Drosophila melanogaster: one gene and its partners. The gene in region 4 interacts genetically with the main gene of each other region. Each region holds a gene or a part of one and is shown on either strand. Other genes may lie near its edges.

Region 1 (4,153 bases), on a different chromosome or scaffold from region 4:
TCGGCAGCCCTCTTCGGGCTGTACCTGTTCTTCAAGATCTTCCAGAAGGTGCACATCAACTACCTGCTCACCGGCTACTTCTTCGTGCTGGGAGTTATTGCTCTGGCGCACCTGCTCAGTCCGGTGATCAACTCGCTGATGCCCGCCGCCGTGCCGAAGGTGCCCTTCCACATCCTGTTCACTAAGGGGGAGGGCAAGCACAAGGAAGACATCGTTAACTACAAGTTCTCCACGCACGACATTGTCTGCCTGGTGATCTCCTCGGCGATCGGAGTGTGGTACCTGCTCAAGAAGCACTGGATCGCCAACAATCTGTTCGGTCTGGCCTTCGCCATCAACGGCGTGGAGATGCTGCACCTGAACAACTTCGTCACGGGCGTCATCTTGCTGAGCGGCCTGTTCTTCTACGACATCTTCTGGGTATTCGGCACCAACGTGATGGTCACCGTGGCCAAGAGCTTCGAGGCGCCCATCAAGCTAGTGTTCCCCCAGGACCTGATCGAGAACGGCCTGAACGCCTCGAACTTCGCAATGCTGGGACTAGGCGACATCGTTATTCCGGGCATCTTCATCGCTCTGCTGCTGCGCTTCGACGACAGCAAGAAGCGCAAGACGCGCATCTACTTCTACTCCACGCTGATTGCCTACTTCCTTGGCCTGCTGGCCACCATCTTCGTGATGCATGTGTTCAAGCATGCGCAGCCGGCTCTGCTCTACCTGGTGCCAGCCTGCATGGGCACGCCCCTCCTGGTGGCCCTCATCCGCGGCGAGCTGAAGGTGCTCTTTGCGTAAGTGTGGACTGCGCTGGGCGCTCGACTTGAAACTAAACTAACTCATTCTCGCCCCCACTGCAGCTATGAAGATCATCCCGAGGAGAAGCCCGAAAAGAAGGAGAAGAAGGAGAAGGACGAGGGCGTCAGCTCGTCCGGCAGCAAAAAGAAGGAGTCGAAAAAGGGCAAGTAGAGCCGGGAGGACGCAACATCCGAACAACATCCCCACTCGTTCCATCGTAAATGTCTTCTGCAGCTAGCCAAGCTCCCTTTCGTTTCGATATGGCTTCTCCATCTACCGCAGTCCATAGCTCATATGGACTAACACCGCTACAAAAGACGATTCACTTACTGAGTTAGTTATGTACGTTCCTTGGCCAGGCACAACAATCTTATTTAGTTCGGTTAGGTTACAATTGTAGAAAATGTTCCCTCGACTTTTTTACCGCAATCAATTTAAATATGTATTTCAAATATTTCTGTGGCTCCGCACAGGAGGCTTATATGTTTAAGAACAGTTTAGATACAAATATATTCCAATTTTTGTAAACAGTGCAATTTTGACTACGAATTCTACATTGCATTTCTTAAAACTAATGCAGTAATTTGTGTAAACAGTAATGCGAATAAATTTTAATTCTAACGTTTAATTAAACTAGTTTTGTATTGAGTAGAGGGTTTTTAGGAATGTAACGGCTTAAGAGAAAAACCTAATACATTTTAAGTTGAGCTTACCAAAATCCAAAGAATTTTTAAATTTAAAACATAATACAAAAGTGCTTTGAAAAAGTCAGTATTTTAATACCACTGTTTATCCACGGCCACACTAAATATCGATAACCGCATAGTGAGACCCTTTGTGTAGAAAAACTTATACCTTTAGCGAGCACAAGCGTTCATTCCTGAAAAATTGCGGTAAAAATTGCGAAAAGCGCGAGTTCCCCCCGCGATTGCAAATAATTAATTTGCTTGGAACCACTGGAGACGCAAGGACGAACAGAGAGGTAGGTGCTCTTGCACTTAGCGCGCCAAAAGGCGACAAAGCCCCTCGTAGGCCACTTACCCACACACACACATTCGCAGACAGACGCGCGTGCAAAAAAGGCCAAGTGGGACTGCTAGCGGAAATCCAGGACTCGAGGACACGTTCGGGCGGCAGTAGAGAAGCGAGCAAGCAGCGACGACCATGTCCGGCATTGCTATTACACGATTGGGGGAGGAGCGCAAGGCCTGGCGCAAGGATCACCCATTCGGGTTCGTCGCACGACCCGCCAAGAACCCTGACGGCACCCTCAACCTGATGATCTGGGAGTGCGCCATTCCCGGCAAGAAGTCCACCCCCTGGGAGGGCGGGCTCTACAAGCTGCGCATGATCTTCAAGGACGACTACCCCACCTCGCCGCCCAAGTGCAAGTTCGAACCGCCGCTGTTCCACCCGAACGTCTATCCCTCGGGCACTGTTTGCCTGTCGCTGCTGGACGAGGAGAAGGACTGGCGCCCCGCCATCACCATCAAGCAAATCCTGCTGGGCATCCAGGACCTGCTCAACGAGCCGAACATCAAGGACCCAGCCCAGGCGGAGGCCTACACCATCTACTGCCAGAACCGACTGGAGTACGAGAAGCGCGTGCGTGCCCAGGCCCGCGCCATGGCGGCCACTGAGTAGTCGGGCTCCTGCCAACCACCTTTACCACATAGACATTAACAAATACACACATCTAGCCGGTAAGCGTTTGTTTGGAATGCTCTCCACGTCTACTTACTTTTAAAGAATCGACTAATTTTGGATAGCCCCCGCGGCCCGAAGCATCTAATTTTTTAATGTTCTGCACTTGCTTAATTACCAGCATGTACCATCTGAATAAATACAAATAAGTCCTGTAATTTTTCGATGAGGCCCAAAGTGGCCACGTGGCACCCAGAATTCGACGCTCTTTTCAGCTTCCATTCTGGGTGCAGGTGCCGATTATTCTACGGGCTATTTTGTATCGCGAGTACTACGTACAAACCTATGTAATTTCAATAAAAATTTATTAGTTGTAAAAGCTTATGCATTTTAAAGCGGAAAGGATTTCCCAGCAAATGTGCAGTCGAGCACTTGTTGGTCGTCAGTAGCCGTACAGCTGGATTTAGTGCTTGAATTATTCCATATAAAGTTCTTCCTTTTGCTTATTATTTAAGTAACATGACTATTTTTAAATTTAAGCATTTTATTTAAAAACTTGTTCAGTCCATTTTTACCTTTATATTTTATTTGATTTTTAGGCATTTGAAGCTGGTCACATTTCCCAACTATTTCAGCTGATCTGGCAAGTCCGCCAACATTACTATGCATAATTTTTGGCTGATCTGGTAGCATTCGCTGCTGATATAGCAATGCTTCCAGCTAACGGTTCATTTCCAACGAGGCCGCCATATTGAAAAATGCCCAGTTAAAACACCTACTGAGATTTGTGTTCGCCTGGTACTTCAGTCTGGGGAATCCGGCATACTGACAGCTGAATTTATTATTTTTCCCGAGGATGCTCATATATTTCGAACTGAATTACCAGGGAAGCATAAGCGTGGAAAGGTGTTTTTAAAACAACCGCCAGGATTCCCAAAGTCTTGGTTTTGGTGGGCATGCTCTATTCTGAGTACCAGGCGAACAGAACTTCTAGTAGGCTACCAACGATCAGCTGATCTATCTGATGCCTGGTCTAATCTAACGGTTCTTTTATTAGGGATGCCACAATATTTTTCTATTGATCCGGTAATATGTCCGATGTTTGACAATATTTTAATCAATCTGGCAACTATGTCGTCATAACATTTTTCGCTAATCTGGCAGCACTCAAATCGTTCGTTGAATTCAAAAATGTAAAATGTCGTTTAGTTACTAATTTCACTATATTTTATATTGAATAAATTAATTACTTTTATTGTCGCACACACTTAATAAATAATGTACTCATTTAAATTACACAGTTAGAATTGCTCGCTTTATGGGGAACAGCGAGTAATTTACATTATAGTATTGGATCTACATTGGAATACTTCGCCTCCTTCTACTCCGCAGACCATTGCAAACTTGTAGTTTCTCGCCCTCAATTTAATTTCTGTCTAAGTGGTAAGCTTTGGCATGCATTATATGTCATGGTTCCCACTTAATGGGTATGCGCCTAAATTAATGTACCTAAGTATCTATGTGTTATTCCTTTAGGTGTACTGTATATGTACGGGAGTACGATGTATATATCTACTTCTATCGATCGGTAAGTCGAAGGAGTCAGTCCCCAAATGGAGTTGGAAGTGGAGGGCAGCGACGGGAGATTTTCCGGGAATACTGTCGTCGATGGTTGGTTGCGGTTTGGATAGTGTACATTTTTAAAGGAGGCTAGGAT
Region 2 (5,123 bases), on a different chromosome or scaffold from region 4:
AGGACACGTTGAACACGTGACCGTCCTGATCGGCATAGCCGTGAAGGATGCTGCTGTGGGCGGCATCATTCATCAGCCATTCTACCAACAGCCCGATGGCGAAATGGGTCGCACCATTTGGGGCCTGAAGGGTCTGGGCACGGGAGGATTCACGGCAGTCCCCGCGCCAGCCGGCCAGTTCATCATAACCACCACTCGCTCGCATTCCAATGCCCTGCATCAGCAAGCCCTCAACGCATTCGCATCCACAGAAGTTCTGAAAGTCGGAGGCGCTGGGTTCAAAGTGCTCCAGCTGCTGGAGGGAAAGGCCCACGCGTACGTCTTCGCCACGCCGGGCTGCAAGAAGTGGGACACCTGCGCACCCGAGGCCGTTCTAGAGGCCCAGGGCGGCTGCCTCACCAACATCAACGGCGAGCACTACGCCTACAATGCGGATGTGGAGCACGTGAATCGACAGGGAGTGCTGGCCAGCCTGGGACAGGACCATGCCGCGCTGGTGGAAAAGATTCCCGCCGAGGTGCGGGCAGCAGTGGGAGCCAAGTGAGATAGCTTTGAATTCCAGCACTTTATTAGTTTATTTGCACTAAAAGTAAACACACATAAATTAAGCAATAACAGGTTAGAAATTTGAAAATTGTTAAAACTGGGCTCAGAATGCATTCTTTATTTATCGAAACTGCCGCTGTTGTTGCTCTGTGTGCTGCTGTTGGCCACCGAGTTGTTCAGGTAGCGATTCCGCTTGGCCTTGGTCATTTTGCAGGAGTTTACGGAGGCCGCGAAGCGCAGCGACTTGACGGACTCTTGGAAACAGTCTTGGAACGGCGAGACGTTGATGAACATAAGCGTTTTCGAGTTGCCGCCCAGCGAGGGCATCAGCAGGTGCGTCAGCTTGGAGTTCCTGTACGGGATGTGGTCCTGCTTCTGCAGCAGCGCCAGGATTACGTTGGTGAGCTCCGATAGCGAGCGATTGATGTTCTTTGTCTCGGTCATCCGGGTGCTCGTCTTGGGAGACTCAGAGCCGGCCAAATCCACCAGGTTTATGGAACCCACGGAGATCTCTTGCTTTTCGGCATGGCGTCCGATGAGCTCAAGCTTGGTAACCGCGTGGGAACGAGAGGAGCGCTCGTTGCCAGCTGTCGAGGCGGTGGCACGGTTCATCTTGGCCGTGTGCATGAGGTGGCGCAGGTGATTTGGATCCAGAACCGTCTCCTCCGTTATGTTGGACACGTAGATGTCGTTCTTGTTGTTCTTGGCCATTCGAATCTCCATGTCCTTCTGCTCGTTGCTCAGCAGATCGTAGAGCACCTCGTTGTAGATCTCCAGAAAGGTGGCCTTGATCTCGTACTCCCAGCCCAAGTTGCGATATCCCCGGATGGAGTCGAAGAGCAGATCCACCGTGCGCGGTATGACGCCCACACTCTCCGGCACTCCGTCCATTGTGTAGGTCTTGCCACTGCCCGTCTGTCCGTAGGCAAAGATGCAGATATTGTAGCCATCCAGGGCCGACTGGATGAGCGGCGAGACCATCTCGAAGATGTCCGACTGCGAGGAGAGCGGGTGGAAGACCTGGTCGAATGAGAAGATCTGCTGGCCCATCTTGCTTTTGGCCTGTGCGTCAATGCTCTGCAGCTCCACGGTGGACTCGTCGTGATAGGTCCAGGTGCAACACATACGGTTCTCCTCGGACTCCAGCGGCGGTCGTATTCGACAGAAGACCCGGATGTTGCCGCGCAGGTCCATGACCGTGTTGTGCAGCTCTTTGCGCTCCATGTTCGACTGGAAGAGCTGCTCTTTGCAGGTCTCCAGCTCGGCGGCCTGCTGCTCATTGCAGCGCAGGAGTTCCTCGGTGCGCTGGCGCAGATGCACCACTTCTGTGCTTAGAGCAGCATGCTCCGTTTTTACTTTCTGCAACACACACATTGTTGTTACATTTAACCTGGGTTTCTGTTTACTTGAGTACTCACCTCATGTATTGCTTGCAGCTCGGATAGCTCCTCTTTGGTCCTGCCCAGCGTCGATGTGATTGTTTCAATTTTGGCGGTATGCTGCTTCACCTGCCTCTGAAGACACTCGTTGTCGCTCTGGGTGTTCTTCAGCGAGGACTCCGTCTCGATAAGCTTGTTCTGCGTCTCCTCCAGTTGCTGAGGCATGGACTCCAGCTCGCCCATGTCCTCTGTTTGCTTTTCGTACTTTGTCTTAAGCACCTTGTGCTTCTCTAGCAGATCGTGGAAGCGGGCCTTGAAGTCGTAGGGAGCGATGCGCTTGGGAGCAGCAGCCGCGGCTCCTGACGAAGCTGCTGCTCCTGTTCCTGCTGGTTTCTTGGCGGCTGCTCCTCCTGCAGCCCGTGGAGCAGGACGCGTTACTGGTGGTCTTTTGACAGCTGTTGCTGTTATTGACGAAGGCGCCGCAGGACGCACTAGTCGCTGGCTGGAAACAGTGAGTGCACCGCCCAGGCGGGATACTTTGCTGGGAATGCTGGGCAATGAAGGAGCAGCCGCAGTGCGCTTGTTACCACGCAGTTCGTTGATGTCGCAAGCGCTACGGCTACGTCTCAGCTTGGCCCGGTGGCCCAACTTCATGGGCTCTGGGGAGGCGGCACGTGCTATCGGAAATTAGCAAGGACTTAAGGTGAATTCTTTGGAAGGATGCTTCTTTACTCACCTCCTCCTCCGCGACGCTCCAGCACCTGGGGCAGATTGTTGAGGTCCCTTGAGAGGGGCGGCAATAAGTTGCCGCAGTATGTCTGGTTGGCATTGACATTGAAGGCGCCTGCTCCAGCGGCTCCACCTCCCAATCCTGCGCGAATTCGATCTGTGGGCAGCACGGTTTTAATCGGCATTTGGGGTTTCTTCAGGCCCGACGGTTTCGGTAGCCGGGATTCCATCGCCAACTGTGTTGTGCCTAACTTAGAAGATACGTCTGCCTCCTTGCAACCGATTTTATCAATTAGTTTTGCGTTGTTGACAAGCGACGCCGTCGATTCCCGCCGTTATTTTTGATTGCAGGGATGCTCTGGGGCAGTGTGACCATTTGTCGGGAGAGTACGGCGTTGCCAGCCAAGACGACTTCCAGTTTGTCAATCAGATGTTTTCAGTGCTGCAGCTTTGGCCCTCGGGCACAAATTTTCGCCTTGACTCGTGCATCCCGCAGGTTTTCGGCGCGTGAAACTCACCCAAGCGGGTGTGAAATACGGTGGCTGTTGCATTCGAACCGTTCATTTTGTGGAAAAGTCGCGGCGGACTGTTCAACAGCCTGAAGAGTGAAGTCTTGTGCGCAGCACTAGTGTCGTTGCCGGACGGTTGCGGCAATCCGGGGCGAACTTCTTGAAAGCGTTTTGCTTTCTTTTTGCGAGCTTGTGCGGTGTGAAGGAAGGCCGCGCTATTCTGAAATTTATTTGTTGCCTCGAAAAAGCTGTGGAAATTGCGTTCCAGTTGGAAAGCAGTTGCGTGATCGGGTCGTTGCCAGACCGGCCGCAGGTCTCACGCGACCATCTCTAGTTTGTTTTCATTCGGATTGGAAAAGGCTCGTTCCCATCGAACTGATTTTGTGAATTTTAAAATTGGCTTCCCCCACGTCCGCCAATCCCCCCGAGATGTCGGGGCAGGCGGAGCTCAAGGAGCTGGGCATGTTCGAGCTGCGCCCGCTGATCACTAACATCAGCTGCAAGCTGTCCGCGGTGACAGCGGGGCTGGACGAAAAGCGACAGTTCCTATGCCTCGTTTCTGAGGAAAACGAGATCCTGCTGCGCTACATAAGCGCCGCCTCCGGCCAGGAGGTGGTCAAGATGATATCCTGGTTCCGCAACCGCGTCATCCACGACGTCTGCTTCGATCCGGCGGGCGTTTGGCTGCTGGTGCTATGTGAGTTTCAGCGTATGATGGCATGAGCACCACCCACTTTTTTGTGTTGGGTGGGTGGTTGCTGTGGTGGTGCTGCTAAAATTACTTTGCCCCCATGTGTGCGTGTATGGTTATTGATTTTCTGCTGCCTCCCCTTTGTTTTGATTTAACGATCGAATGGAGTCCTTGCTCAAACACCACTTATCCACTGCTCTGTCAACAGGTTTCGACAACACACTGCACATCGTGCCCGCCCTGGCGTTGGTGGACAAGGCCCATGGACTGTCCGCCTGCTCGCTCTACAGCACCACCCAGGTCACCTCCTACATCATCCCCTTTGTGGGCCCCCACGAGTGTCCCAACTCCAAAAAGTGCCCCAATCACTCCACCGGTCTGGAAGAGTCCACGGCGGAGCCAATGGATCAGTTGGCTGAGAACCTAGAGCAGGCCAGGTTGCAGGAAGGCGAAGAGGAGGAGCCTCTTGGCCACGACCTGCCCGAGCACATGCTGGTGCGAAATAGCGGAACTGAGGATGCAGTGCAGCCACTGCCGCAGCAGCAGCAGACGATCGATACCACCGGCAATAGCCAGGTGATGGCAGCCTCTTTCATGGCGTCCAAGACCTGCCCCTATCCCTTGTCCGTCGTCTGGTGGAAGACCAACAGTGGACAGAATAGGGCCATTATCGGCTACTCGGATGGCTCCATCTGCTTTGTGGGCCTGAGTCCCAACTGCCCCATGATTGCGAGCACTGCCATCGAAAACGGATCTGTGATGCGCCTGGTTATCTGCAAAGATAAAGCCTACGATGGTGTTATGCTGCTGGTAAGGAACTATTCTACTAATATAGATTTCCAGATGATAGAATATGGTTTACCGTCTTTCAGATAACTTCCTCCCTGAAGCAGCAGTACAAACTTTTGCTGGAGCAAAAGGCAATCAAATACGTCTATCCCGGAGACAGTTCCCCGACAACCCGCGAGGGCGCCTGGCAGATCGTGATGTCCGTGCAGGACAAGCATCAGAGTGCGGCGACAGGCGCCCGACAAAGCAATAGTTCCGATCCGGCCTCGGACAGTAGCCAACTGGAAGAGGATGTGTTCGCGCCTCCGTCCAGCGATGATGTGGTATGCAGTGGTCCAGGAGCAGCCAACTCAGACCCGTCCACTGTTTCGGCATCCGCAGAGGCAGCCACTGCAGACGTGCCTCCACCACCGGCGCCGCCTTCGTACAGTGAGGCAGTGGCTAGGCAATCCGGTGACCAAGGCGGCGTTCGCTTCCAGC
Region 3 (4,594 bases), on a different chromosome or scaffold from region 4:
CTGTATTGGCAAAGTATTCGACATCCTTATCGAGATTCTTGTGGTCCAGGCGCTTCATAATCACAGTTTCTATAGCCTCTTTCAGCTCGGTGATGTTTAGCACCATTCCGGTTCGCCGATCGATGGGACCACGGACGGTTATCTCAACTGAAAAGATCACAAAGGATTATAAAAGAACATCTTTCGTAGTCTATTCACACATTTTTTGGTATAATTTGGTATAATCGGCATCGAGTCAAGCTTGAGTTCTTAAGGTTTAGCTATTGACAATCTAAATATAATCCAAATTTCTAATCAGTTGAGCACTTGCGACACTTTATGCTCGTTCAGAACCATTATTCATTATCAATTCTCGGTCGCCAGTCAACATATTGATTGCCTTTGAGCGTTGAACTTGAATATGGTTTTGATAAGCGAGCTTGTCGGCCAAGGTTTTGCTATGGTTAGGCACCACTTTGGGCTCAAATTACCAGTTTAGTAGGGGGTTAAGCCTGATTGAGCCGGGGTTATGTGATAATAAGTGTGGCACTTTGCAGGTAATCATGCGACTAAGTGTATTTAAGGGGTATTTTTTTTTTTACCTGTATAGTTGTGTCCGTGGCCGTGGAAATTGTTGCACTTGCCGAAGACTTCCAGATTCTCGGCGTCGCTCAATTGGGGACTGAAGAGAAAATAGATGCAGCAATCAATTTAAATCGAACTGAATTGGTTTGCCAGCCGTGATTGAATCAGGCAATTGAATGATTCAATTTGATTCAATCTAATTACCTATGGAGACGATGGCAGGCGCTGAAAGTTTCGCGACGGGTTAAAAAGGCAACAGGTTGCTGCGACATTTCAAGTCCGATTTATACTATATATCTGGATCTGTATCTGGATGTGGATTTATATATGCGGCTGATCAGCTGCGCGCTTTGGCAATGTTTTACAATGAATGCAAAACCTGCTTTTGAGCCGCGCTTATTTATATGGTACTTGGATCGAGGGAACAAGGAAATATAAGCCACAAATGCGGCGACTGCGATATCAACACGCTCGGAACTAGTTTCTCTGAACTTTTCGAGTGCGGCTAATTGCAGCTGATTAGCGATTGATGTTCCCTCGTTTTCTGTTGCAAGTGCCTATGCGTGCTGCAAAGACAGGGTGTGGTATGCTATAGCCATGGTAACAAACTCAATTCAGCAAGGAACTCACCTTTAATTGCTATGGATTTTCAATAATATTTACTTTTGTCTACGTTGCTCGTCAACAGCTGCTCCCGATAACAAGGCAGCGCGTATCGGTTATCGGCCAGAGCTGAGCAGTTTGCCGCCACAACTGTTCTCAGTGATTTACAACTGCACAAATAGACTATTGTATGGGTAGAAATCCTTACACTATTACAATTTCGCTATATATTTATTTATTTCATGTTAGTTCTTTGTCAATTATCTCATAATTTAAATGAGCTGATTAACAGAGTTAGCTAACAGAGTATGTAAGTGCTGTTCATCCCTGGCTCGTGGTGGCGTTGCCGGACCTCACGCCGCTCACTGTAATCAACCCTGCTTTGCTATCGATCGCCGCCCTTCACTAGAAAAAAAATAACAAACGACGCCGCGCAATAATTCGAAACTCTTCGGCGTTATTTAAAAAACGAGCAGAGATACCTAAATAATAATCTAGACATGAGCAACAAGAGCACTCCGGTGCGGCAGCGCATCCAGCAGTTCCAGACGCGAGGAGTCCACAAATCCACGCCGGCATCCGAGATGCGCAAGAAGGTGCTGATGACGCGGGCGGAGGATCGGGAGCACCGGGATCGTCCCGAACAGCTGCTGAACACTGCATTCAGCGGGAGCACGCCACAGCCGAAGCCCAAGCCCACGGCCCTGAATGCCTGCTACACACCCTCGTCGCTGTACAGGAATGCGAACTCTACTCCTGGAAGAGCAAAGACGCCCGGCACCGGGAAATCCAGCTGCAGCAGGACAAAGGAGCGGGACTCTCTGATGGAGTCCTGCCTCAGCGTGTCCGAGGAGAGCAACATGATTGTGGCGGTGCGAGTGCGGCCACTGAATGCCCTGGAATGCACACGTGGTCAGGTCACCAATGTGGTCCAGGTGCACGGAAACAGCAACGAGCTGACTGTCCAAGCGGGCAGCAGTGCTGATGCCTCCGCCGGCGTGACGCACTTCTTCAGCTACGACCAGGTCTACTACTCGTGCGATCCCGAACGAAAGAACTTCGCCTGCCAGGCCAAAGTCTTTGAGGGCACAGCGCGTCCCTTGATCGACACTGCCTTCGAGGGCTACAATGCCTGCTTGTTTGCCTACGGCCAGACGGGCTCGGGCAAATCGTACAGCATGATGGGCATTGAAGCATTGGATGACGCCGCTCTGGATGGCGGACCGCCGCACGATGAGGCGGGCATCATTCCACGCTTCTGCCACGAGCTATTCCGCCGCATAGAGGCTGTGAAAAGTCAGCAGCAGCTGCAGGTGGAGGTGGAGGTCAGCTACTTTGAGATCTACAACGAGAAGATACACGATCTGCTGAGTGTCCAGCATGCGGCAGCTGCCACCGGGGAATCCACGCCCATCCAGCAGCAACAACAGCAGCAGCGTCCGGCTCTAAAGGTCAGGGAGCATCCCATCTTCGGGCCCTACGTAGTGGACTTGAGTGCCCACTCGGTGGACTCGTACTCGGCACTCCGCAACTGGCTTGCCGTGGGCAACTCCCAGCGGGCCACTGCCTCCACGGCCATGAACGACAAGAGCTCGCGCTCACACTCCATCTTCAACATTGTCCTAAACCTCACCGATCTGAGCAGTGACGATGGCCTGTCCTCGGATACGGACTCGAGCACGGCCTCCTCCCTGCGGCAGACGCGGCGCAGCAAGATTAGCCTGGTGGACCTGGCGGGCAGCGAACGCATTAGCGTCTCCGGATCGAACGGCGAGCGGATCCGCGAGGGCGTCAGCATCAACAAGAGCCTGCTGACGCTGGGGAAAGTAATTGCTGCTCTCGCCGATTCCCGCAAGGCGATCGCCAATGGACCCCTGGGCTCTGGGACGCCCAGCACCTTCGTTCCCTATCGCGAGAGCGTGCTCACCTGGCTGTTGCGGGTAAGTGTTACGAAATAGTTCTTAGCTGCGTTTGTACTTATCAACCGGGTCAGTAGGTTGGTCTACTTTCGGCTAATGATAACTCTTTCTTATCCCCTTGGTTTTTGAAATCAATAATTGTACCCAGAAGTGATTGCTAAGTATGTGTTTCGAATAAGTTCAGCTCAGTAAAACCTTATAACCTCATGTCTTCAATATAAATGCATATGTATATTCGCAATGCTTTCCGCACTTTTGCCACCACCGATAGGATTGCTTATCAACACTTTCGCTTCGATTAGGCAGTGGCCCACGGAATGGGGTCCCCTTGCAATCAGTAATTACCCGGAAAGCAATCAGTACGTAGAACTGCACTGCAACATGCAAATGACACGTTGACCCCTGCGGAAAGTACCCACAAAATGTTCGTACGGTCAAATGTTTACTTAACTGGCTGGCAGATATTCGTCTTTTCAACAGATCTCGTGATGAGCTATGAAGCCCACTGTCTACAGAGATATCATCTCGACTCGCGCGACACGCGAATTCTGTTTTAATGATGTCTGCACTGCGAGGAGCAGCTGCTAGACAGATTTATGTTGGCTCTATCAATTAACTGGGGTGCTAATTACTTTAATTAAAATAAAGCGTCAAATTGTCCGAAAAAAACAAGGAAAAGAAGACGACAACATCAGCCAGAGATTAGATTGAGTTTATCTGCGCTTTATAGGACTAAATATGAGAGATCTCGAGTTCTAAACTCGAACCTTGTTATCATTCGTTTGTTTATTTTGTTTGCTAAGATTGCCAGCAGACTTAGTGTATTTTTTATTATTATTATTTCCTTATCATTTTCGATAGGAAAGCCTTTTATTAAGGTCTACCAAATCAAAGACCTCCCGCACCTCAATCAATTGAGTGATTAAAATTTTGGCCTCTTATCATATCTATTTAATCTATTGTTGTTGCTTTTCCTATGTGACCATAAAATTTATGACCTGATACAAAGGCGCACGTGTAAACTTTCTAGAAATTTATTTTAAGAACGCGAATAAAAAGATAGCAGTGTCTTCACCCGGGTAATATAATTATTTTGTTATAAAACCTCAGCAAATGCTTACATAGCATTAGCAGGAAAATTGTTATAAACTTGTCATGAGACTTGAATGTTGTGCATTAGTTAACATATTAGCTACTTGTTTCACGATTGTTTGAATTGAGTAACGACTGCGTTTTCTTTAGCAATCAATGTAACATACTTATGTGTGCATTTTAAGTTAACAACTGCTCTTAAGCGAACGCCACACGTTCGTAATAACTTGATTGTTGGAATATTACCAGGCTAGTTAATCCGAAAGTGAGGGTTTTATATAATACAAGTATCTGGCTTCTAAAAAAAGGCGCACTCGACATTTGCGACGTAATTTATAATCATTCGACTGCATTCAATGAGTAATTACATGGCGCCCACAAGTGAGAGGCTCTTGATCGAAAGTCCAAACACTTGT
Region 4 (7,353 bases):
AGTTCCCATTATATTTTATTCGGTATTGGAATCCCGCTATTTTCGCATTCATGCAGTTCCCACTATATTTTATTCGGTATTTTCGCAGTCATTAGTGTGGCCAAAACTCGAAAATATCAAGGGCTAGAGCAGCTAGATGTTGCGGCATTCGCGGCCTGGTCACACTAAGCTAGGGCTACTTTTTATATCATAAGTCGAGCGTTTAGGTAAGCGAAACAAAAAGAGCTTTAGTTAGAGGTATTAGTTTGGTTGCTATTATTTCTAAATTGAAAACTTCACTTCCTTTGATCCAAAAGACACTGAAAAGACACGTTTGCAGTTGAGTTCATTATTTTCTGGTATACATACACACTGATTACTCATTCAATTGGCATTTTGCTCTTGTTTTTCTCCGATTGCCTTGCACTCGCATAAATTTAACACAAAAAAGAAGTTCGGGGTGTTTAGAATCCATCCACTTGGTACAGTTCCCATCGAGCTGGTGAGTACTCCGCGCAGTGCAACGTATACACACTTGAACTCGAATTCTGGCAGCAAAATGGTGGTGACCTATTAATAACACCCGCTCAATTTTCCCTCGCTTTTCCATTCAGTCTCCAACTAGCTGCAAGTGAGTACGTTACTTCCGAGATCCTCTCCAAAAAAATAAAACATAAATCCAAATCCAACCAGTGTAGCATCCATTGAATTAGATTTTCCGACACGTTGCGCCTATGACAATCCTAATTCCATCCTCTTCTCTTTCGTTTAGGTAGCTCGGATGGCCATCGAAAGGGTAAATTGGTGTTACATATAGCTTTAGAGATCGTTTCGAATCACATTGATAATCGTTCGAAACGTTCTCCGAAGCAAAATCAAGCAAGAGTAACGATTTCCGCATAGTCGAAAATGTTTAAGTTGAATTGTCTTACGGACAGTGAGATGAGTACGACTATTTGGAAATCACAAACGAATTGTTTTCATGGTTGACGCGCTTGTCAAGCTACAAAACAAAATGAATGATATACAATATACAATATACAATATGCAATACAATACAATACAAGACAAAAAAATGTGTCTTGGAACGCAACATTGTACAAGTCGCAATGCAAACTGAAGTCTTAAAAGACGTGTAAAATGTTGCAAATTAAGCAAATATATATGCATATATGGGTAACGTTTTACGCGCCTTAACCAGTCAAAATACAAAATAAATTGGTAAATTTCATATAACTAGTGAAATGTTATACGAAACTTAACAATTGCCAAATAATACAGATCGATTTAGAGCGAGATGACAATAGAGAGGCGATCTCTCTCGTATACGAGTCTTGAAAAGAAAGAGAAGGCGAACGGTGCTGGCTTAGAGAGAGATGGCAATACTAATTAACTGCAAATACATTTCCGCCATTTTGTTGGCGCTAAAAGTAACGGAAATTCGAGATGCTTTTAGGGCTGCCACCTTGGTTTCCAGGGTGACCAGAACTGACACTTAAATTACATATGACAAATAAAGACTTATCTGCTATTGCAAATACTGTTTTAAGCGGCTTTTTTTCCATCAAATTTGTTAGTTCTTGTTCCTGTTTTAATAAGTTGGCAATACCGATCCTCCGCACTTGCTATGTGTGTCTATAATCATATAGGGTGGCAGCGCAGGCCAGGGCTGGCAAGGGTGGCGCATTAACAGAGTTCTGTAATGTTATGCTCATGAACAATAGCGATGCCATTGTGCACGATATGTTTGCAAAACATGTTAAGTTGTGTGCAGTATTTTAGCAAGATTAAGTTAAATTAGAGATGGCCCCTACAACATACACATACCAAAAGCGAGGTCACAAGCCACAATGTAAATATCCATGACACCAACCCAGATCGTTCTTAGTGTTATTACCGCGACGGTCACACTGCCAAAATCAATTTGAAATGCAAAGGTCGCTTGGCTTCGTCAAAAAAGTAAAATAATTACGGTGAATGCAAGCCAATTGTGCATTATTCAAACAACTTCAATTCTTCAATCTGCATGGAGGGCGCCAAATTAAGCGCAGTTCGGATTGCGGTCCGCGAGGCGCCGTACCGCCAGTTCTTGGGGCGTCGGGAGCCCAGCGTCGTCCAGTTTCCGCCATGGAGCGACGGAAAGGTATGTGCCCCACCATTGGCCATGTGCATGTCTAACGGTATATGACCGCCATCTCGCTTTGTAGTCGTTAATAGTGGATCAGAATGAATTCCACTTCGATCACGCCTTTCCCGCGACCATCAGCCAGGATGAGATGTACCAGGCGCTGATCTTGCCGCTGGTGGACAAGCTGCTCGAGGGATTCCAGTGCACTGCACTCGCCTACGGCCAGACGGGAACGGGCAAGAGCTACTCAATGGGCATGACACCTCCGGGAGAGGTGGGTTTTTCGTTTAGCCATCAGTGGCTTAAATCTTTCCCACTGATCTATCGCTTCTATTCCTTTACAGATACTGCCCGAGCACCTGGGTATTCTGCCTCGCGCCCTGGGCGACATTTTTGAGCGCGTGACCGCCCGGCAGGAGAACAACAAGGATGCGATTCAGGTGTACGCCTCCTTCATAGAGATCTACAATGAGAAACCCTTCGATCTGCTGGGCTCCACGCCACATATGCCCATGGTGGCGGCGCGTTGCCAGCGATGCACCTGCCTTCCTTTGCACAGCCAGGCGGATCTGCATCACATCTTGGAGCTAGGCACTCGCAATCGACGCGTTCGTCCCACCAATATGAATTCCAATAGTTCGCGATCCCATGCCATAGTCACCATTCACGTGAAGAGTAAAACCCATCACTCGCGGATGAATATTGTGGATCTGGCCGGTTCAGAAGGCGTGCGGCGAACTGGGCACGAGGGCGTGGCCAGGCAGGAGGGCGTCAACATCAATCTGGGCCTGTTGAGCATCAACAAGGTGGTGATGTCCATGGCGGCGGGCCACACAGTGATACCATACCGCGACAGCGTCCTTACCACAGTTCTGCAGGGTAAGTGCTACGTTTTGGATCGTCTCATGCTCAATTAGTTAGTGGACCATTTGGGTTCAAGCCTTTATTGATTAGCGACTTAGTGACTACTATAAATATTGACTGCAACTTCTTGCCGTTTTCATTCTTTGCAGCCTCGCTAACCGCGCAGTCGTATCTGACCTTTCTGGCCTGCATCAGTCCGCATCAATGCGATCTCAGCGAGACGTTGTCCACCCTGCGTTTTGGCACCAGTGCCAAGAAGCTTCGGCTGAATCCGATGCAAGTGGCGCGCCAGAAGGTGAGCCATCTATATGTAATTAAAGTCCACACAGTCGAGGATCACCTCGCGTATACGCTGTTTAAATGTAGCCTCGTTGCCCGCGCCCAGGAAACCAGCTCCATGGAGATCCGTAGTGGCCCCCGCCTCGATGCGCTCGCTAATTGCCTGAAGGTCGGGCACATCCTGACCCTGCATCGTTACAATGGGTAGAACCATCATGGCGAGAAGCAGGCCCACAGCCGCTTTGGTAGCCACCTGTTCATCGAATGCAGGACGGGGAAAAAGTTGCTCCACCCGCTCGCCTAGTCTGTTGCGAACACAACAATACAATAGTTGAAGCTCTAGGATTCTTATACTTTTACTTACCTAATCAGCTGCAGGCCCAACTCTTCATAGTAATCCTCGAGCATATTTTCGAGGTGTCGCTGCCGGAATCGCCGCGAAGTGCAAGTGAAGAGGAAGTAAGCTAGATCGGTGACCGGCGAGGCATATCGCATCAGTTGCCAGTCGATCAGGCGCACGTCCTCGAGCTCGCCCCGCTCTGTACTCTTGTAGAGAATGTTGTTATTCCAGCAATCGCCGTGGCAAATAACAGCGAAGGGTTCGCAATTGAATCCGCTGACCAAAGGCAGCAGCAGCTCAAAGTACGATCCTCTGGCGAAGTACGCCTCCAGACGAACTCTGTATGCATCATCCGCCGGTGCGAGCAGTGCGGATAGGGCGCTTTCCTTCAGATTCTCGAAGTAGACCCCCAAGGCATGATCATCGCGTCGCTGCTCAAAGATATCCACCAGCTGCTGCAGTTGTTGCATTTTCTCGGGCAACTGCCGTTTCCCGGCCAATGATATAGCATGTAATTTGGCATAGGTGAGCATTACGCGACGCACATGCTCGACGGATAGGTCGAGAAAGCGATTGTGCAGTGAGAAGCCGGCACAAGACAGATCCTCCAGCACGATGCACTCGTTGGGCTCATCCTGGCGAGTTCCGAAACAGAGCGCGTGCTGCCGGAAACGATCATCTCCGATTATCTTCCACTTATCCTGAATTAACGCAGTCAGCGGCAGAAAGACCTCATATGCTGCCGTCTCGCGCAGGAAACATGGTCGTGCAAAGAATTGCTTGCGGCGCACGCGATTCTGTGGCGGCAGTTTAACCACCAGGCTGCGTTTCGAATCGGATGCCGCCTGTAGGCGCCACACCACGCCCAAATAGTTGTCGCCCTTGGCACTCGCCCTTTCCAGACGCAGTTCCGGATTGGCGCCCAGCTCTGGCCACAGCTGGCTGACCAGTTGGCGAAGGAACTGTGTAACCTGCTCGTTGGGCAGATCTTCGTCTGGCTTGGCTGTGTCCTCTTGTTGCTCTACAGGACTCTCCATCCTGTCTGGGTGCTCTCTATTCACCTCCCCATTTCGTTCATCTTCGGTGTCTTCATGTGGATCTGGTTCGGCTTCCTTCTGATCAACTTGCTCTGCTGGAGCTGCTAGGTTGCCAGTGAGCTGAATCTCACTCGCAGAGATTTCTGCTAGTTTTTCCCTGTCCGCATTCTCTGCCAGCTCATCCTTTGATTTCGCCTCAGGCTCATCATCTCCTTCCAACAACTGATCTCCAAATGTTTGATTCAACTGGGGAATTTTTTTATCAAGCTCCTCTATGCCTTTGAGCTCTTGTTTGTCGATCACTTTCGAATCAATCTCTTTGGCTAGTTGTTTTTCAATGTGCTCCACCTCAGCACCTCTCGGTTCCTCCAACTCTGCCACCAATTCCTCCTTTTTCACACGATTATCTTCTAAATCCTGCACTGCTTCGCTGTTATTTGAGTTCTCCTCCTTTGGTTCCTCAACATCAATTCGTTTAGGTGACTTCTGATCGACATCTGGATAACTTTCTGTTGAGTCTGGTGAATTTCCTTGATCGGATGCCACTTCTATCACTTCCTGACTTTGGCGATCTTTCTGCTCCCCCTCCTGCGTCTTCTCACTGGGCTGTTCCATGGCACACTACGCCACCGCCGCGAGTGTGGATCGTTTATATAGAGAAACCAAGCCGTACCGAACCGAACTCATTCCAACCGCACTGACCGCAAATCGAACGATGCAGTTACTCGAGTTTCATCCACCCATCTTGCTCTGATTGCAGCAATCGCTGGCCGCACGGACAACACACGTCTTCCGCCAAGCGCTATGCACCTCGACGGCCATCAAGTCAAACGCAGCCAATCATAATAGCATAGTGGTTCCAAAATCCAAATATAGCACAACCAAGCCGCTGAGCGCCGTGCTCCATCGAACTCGCTCCGAACTTGGCATGACGCCCAAAGCTAAGAAAAGGTGAGTAACACGGAATGGACCAAAAGCGAAGATGATCTAATCCTCCCATATCTTCCTCCATAGGGCTCGCGAGCTATTGGAGCTGGAGGAGACCACGCTGGAGCTCTCGTCTATACACATTCAGGACAGCAGTCTGAGTCTGTTGGGTTTCCATAGCGATAGCGATAAGGATAGGCATTTAATGCCTCCCCCAACAGGGCAAGAGCCAAGGCAAGCCAGCAGCCAGAACTCTACGCTAATGGGCATTGTCGAAGAGACCGAGCCCAAGGAATCGTCAAAGGTGCAACAGTCAATGGTTGCCCCCACGGTGCCCACAACTGTACGCTGCCAGCTGTTCAACACCACCATCAGTCCCATCAGTCTACGGGCATCCAGCTCTCAGCGAGAACTTAGCGGCATCCAGCCAATGGAGGAGACAGTAGTGGCTTCGCCACAGCAGCCATGCCTTCGTCGTTCCGTGCGTCTAGCGAGTAGCATGCGTTCGCAGAACTATGGAGCCATTCCCAAGGTTATGAATTTGCGGCGCAGCACGCGGCTGGCGGGAATCCGGGAACATGCCACCTCCGTTGTTGTGAAAAACGAGACGGATGCGATACCGCACCTTCGAAGTACAGTGCAAAAAAAACGTACGCGAAACGTGAAACCTGCGCCCAAGGCCTGGATGGCCAATAATACAAAATGTTTTCTGGACCTGCTTAACAATGGAAACGTTAAGCAATTGCAGGAGATTCCAGGGATCGGTCCAAAGTCCGCCTTTAGTTTGGCCTTGCACAGGTAAGTTACTTACATAGTTGGCATACCTTTATTTGCGTTTTACCCAATAACCCTTAATCCGTAATCCACATTTTTCAGATCCCGCCTGGGTTGCTTCGAGAATCTTTTTCAAGTCAAATCCCTGCCCATTTGGTCGGGAAATAAATGGGAACGATTTTGTCAAATTAACTGTCTCGACACTTGATACAATTACTAATTAAATAGCATTTTAATTCGAATATAGTATAGTGATTGTTATTTATGTGGCATATACTTTGATTTTACAACTATAGTAGGAGTAAAAAAAGGAGCCGGATATCCTAAAACAAACAGTTATATATGTGTATGTGTAATATTTCTCAAGATGTTTACTTATTTTTTGTTTTCGACTATAATTTATTTGATGATAGCTTAGACTACCTATTAAATAAGCGCTATGTAATCTAATATTTAATTGCATTTTTTGATTTAAAGTAAAATAACTTTTAGGTCAATAACAATAATAATAGGACTTTTACACTTTGACACTTTTTATTCTTGGCATATAATTTTTAGACAATATACATATATATATACATTGATTATTGAAGTCGTCGATCTTCACTCTTCGCACTCACTCAACAGGGGGATTCTATCTACGAATCCATCAGTTTCGGCCGCTTCGATTCCAGTTTAGTTAGCACTCTCTCCTGGTTGATTTGGTATATACATACATACATATTTGATATATATATGTATATAGGTATGTATGATCATACGATTAGCATACGAGATAAGCTGCCAATCCAATCCAAACACATGGCGCTGGAAATCGGCATTCCATACACATTCCTACTCTCTTTTGGCTGGAAATCTTATCCGATTTCCCTTCGCTTCAAACATCAAAATACTCTGTTTGGGTTTCCCGAGCGTTGATTCATTAATCTAGCCATGATATAACAACCAAAATAATATCAAGCTATAGAATATATTTTTTAAAGAAAAAAAATCAGTCTGCGGGCATCCAGTTCTCAGCGAGAACT

Evidence for each region.
Region 1: of nod (region 4) and lwr, changing one suppresses a phenotype caused by changing the other (phenotypic suppression), as found in Drosophila melanogaster (one study listed by BioGRID).
Region 2: of nod (region 4) and ncd, changing one enhances a phenotype caused by changing the other (phenotypic enhancement), as found in Drosophila melanogaster (one study listed by BioGRID).
Region 3: of nod (region 4) and neb, changing one enhances a phenotype caused by changing the other (phenotypic enhancement), as found in Drosophila melanogaster (one study listed by BioGRID).

What each region holds. Positions count from the first base shown.
Region 1 is NT_033779.5:540,051-544,203, reverse strand, and holds lwr (lesswright), read left to right. Parts: upstream 1-1,623; 5' UTR 1,624-1,774; intron 1,775-1,824; exon of another isoform or gene 1,825-1,853; 5' UTR 1,854-1,956; coding exon 1,957-2,436; 3' UTR 2,437-2,495; exon of another isoform or gene 2,496-2,967; intron 2,968-3,035; 3' UTR 3,036-3,605; downstream 3,606-4,153. Other genes in the region: Spp (signal peptide peptidase), read left to right, coding at 1-788, 855-963.
Region 2 is NT_033777.3:29,803,743-29,808,865, forward strand, and holds ncd (non-claret disjunctional), read right to left. Parts: upstream 3,386-5,123; 5' UTR 2,885-3,385; coding exon 2,662-2,884; intron 2,603-2,661; coding exon 1,965-2,602; intron 1,906-1,964; coding exon 664-1,905; 3' UTR 548-663; downstream 1-547. Other genes in the region: CG7789 (uncharacterized protein), read left to right, coding at 3-544; ca (claret), read left to right, coding at 3,593-3,860, 4,063-4,664, 4,727-5,123. UniProt on the Drosophila melanogaster protein: Minus-end-directed microtubule-based motor protein. Has ATPase activity. Required for normal chromosomal segregation in meiosis in females, and in early mitotic divisions of the embryo.
Region 3 is NT_033779.5:20,074,190-20,078,783, forward strand, and holds the start of neb (nebbish), read left to right. Parts: upstream 1-1,567; 5' UTR 1,568-1,667; coding exon 1,668-3,107; intron 3,108-4,594. Other genes in the region: pr (purple), read right to left, coding at 2-147, 582-661, 769-836.
Region 4 is NC_004354.4:11,578,919-11,586,271, forward strand, and holds nod (no distributive disjunction), read left to right. Parts: upstream 1-1,853; 5' UTR 1,854-2,005; coding exon 2,006-2,122; intron 2,123-2,186; coding exon 2,187-2,381; intron 2,382-2,451; coding exon 2,452-2,986; intron 2,987-3,038; exon of another isoform or gene 3,039-3,120; coding exon 3,121-3,266; exon of another isoform or gene 3,267-3,275; coding exon of another isoform or gene 3,276-3,555; intron 3,556-3,614; coding exon of another isoform or gene 3,615-5,242; exon of another isoform or gene 5,243-5,257; intron 5,258-5,387; coding exon 5,388-5,578; intron 5,579-5,641; coding exon 5,642-6,352; intron 6,353-6,430; coding exon 6,431-6,536; 3' UTR 6,537-6,832; downstream 6,833-7,353. Other genes in the region: pkm (pinkman), read right to left, coding at 3,276-3,555, 3,615-5,242. UniProt on the Drosophila melanogaster protein: Required for the distributive chromosome segregation of non-exchange chromosomes during meiosis. May be a microtubule motor required to hold distributively 'paired' chromosomes at the metaphase plate until anaphase.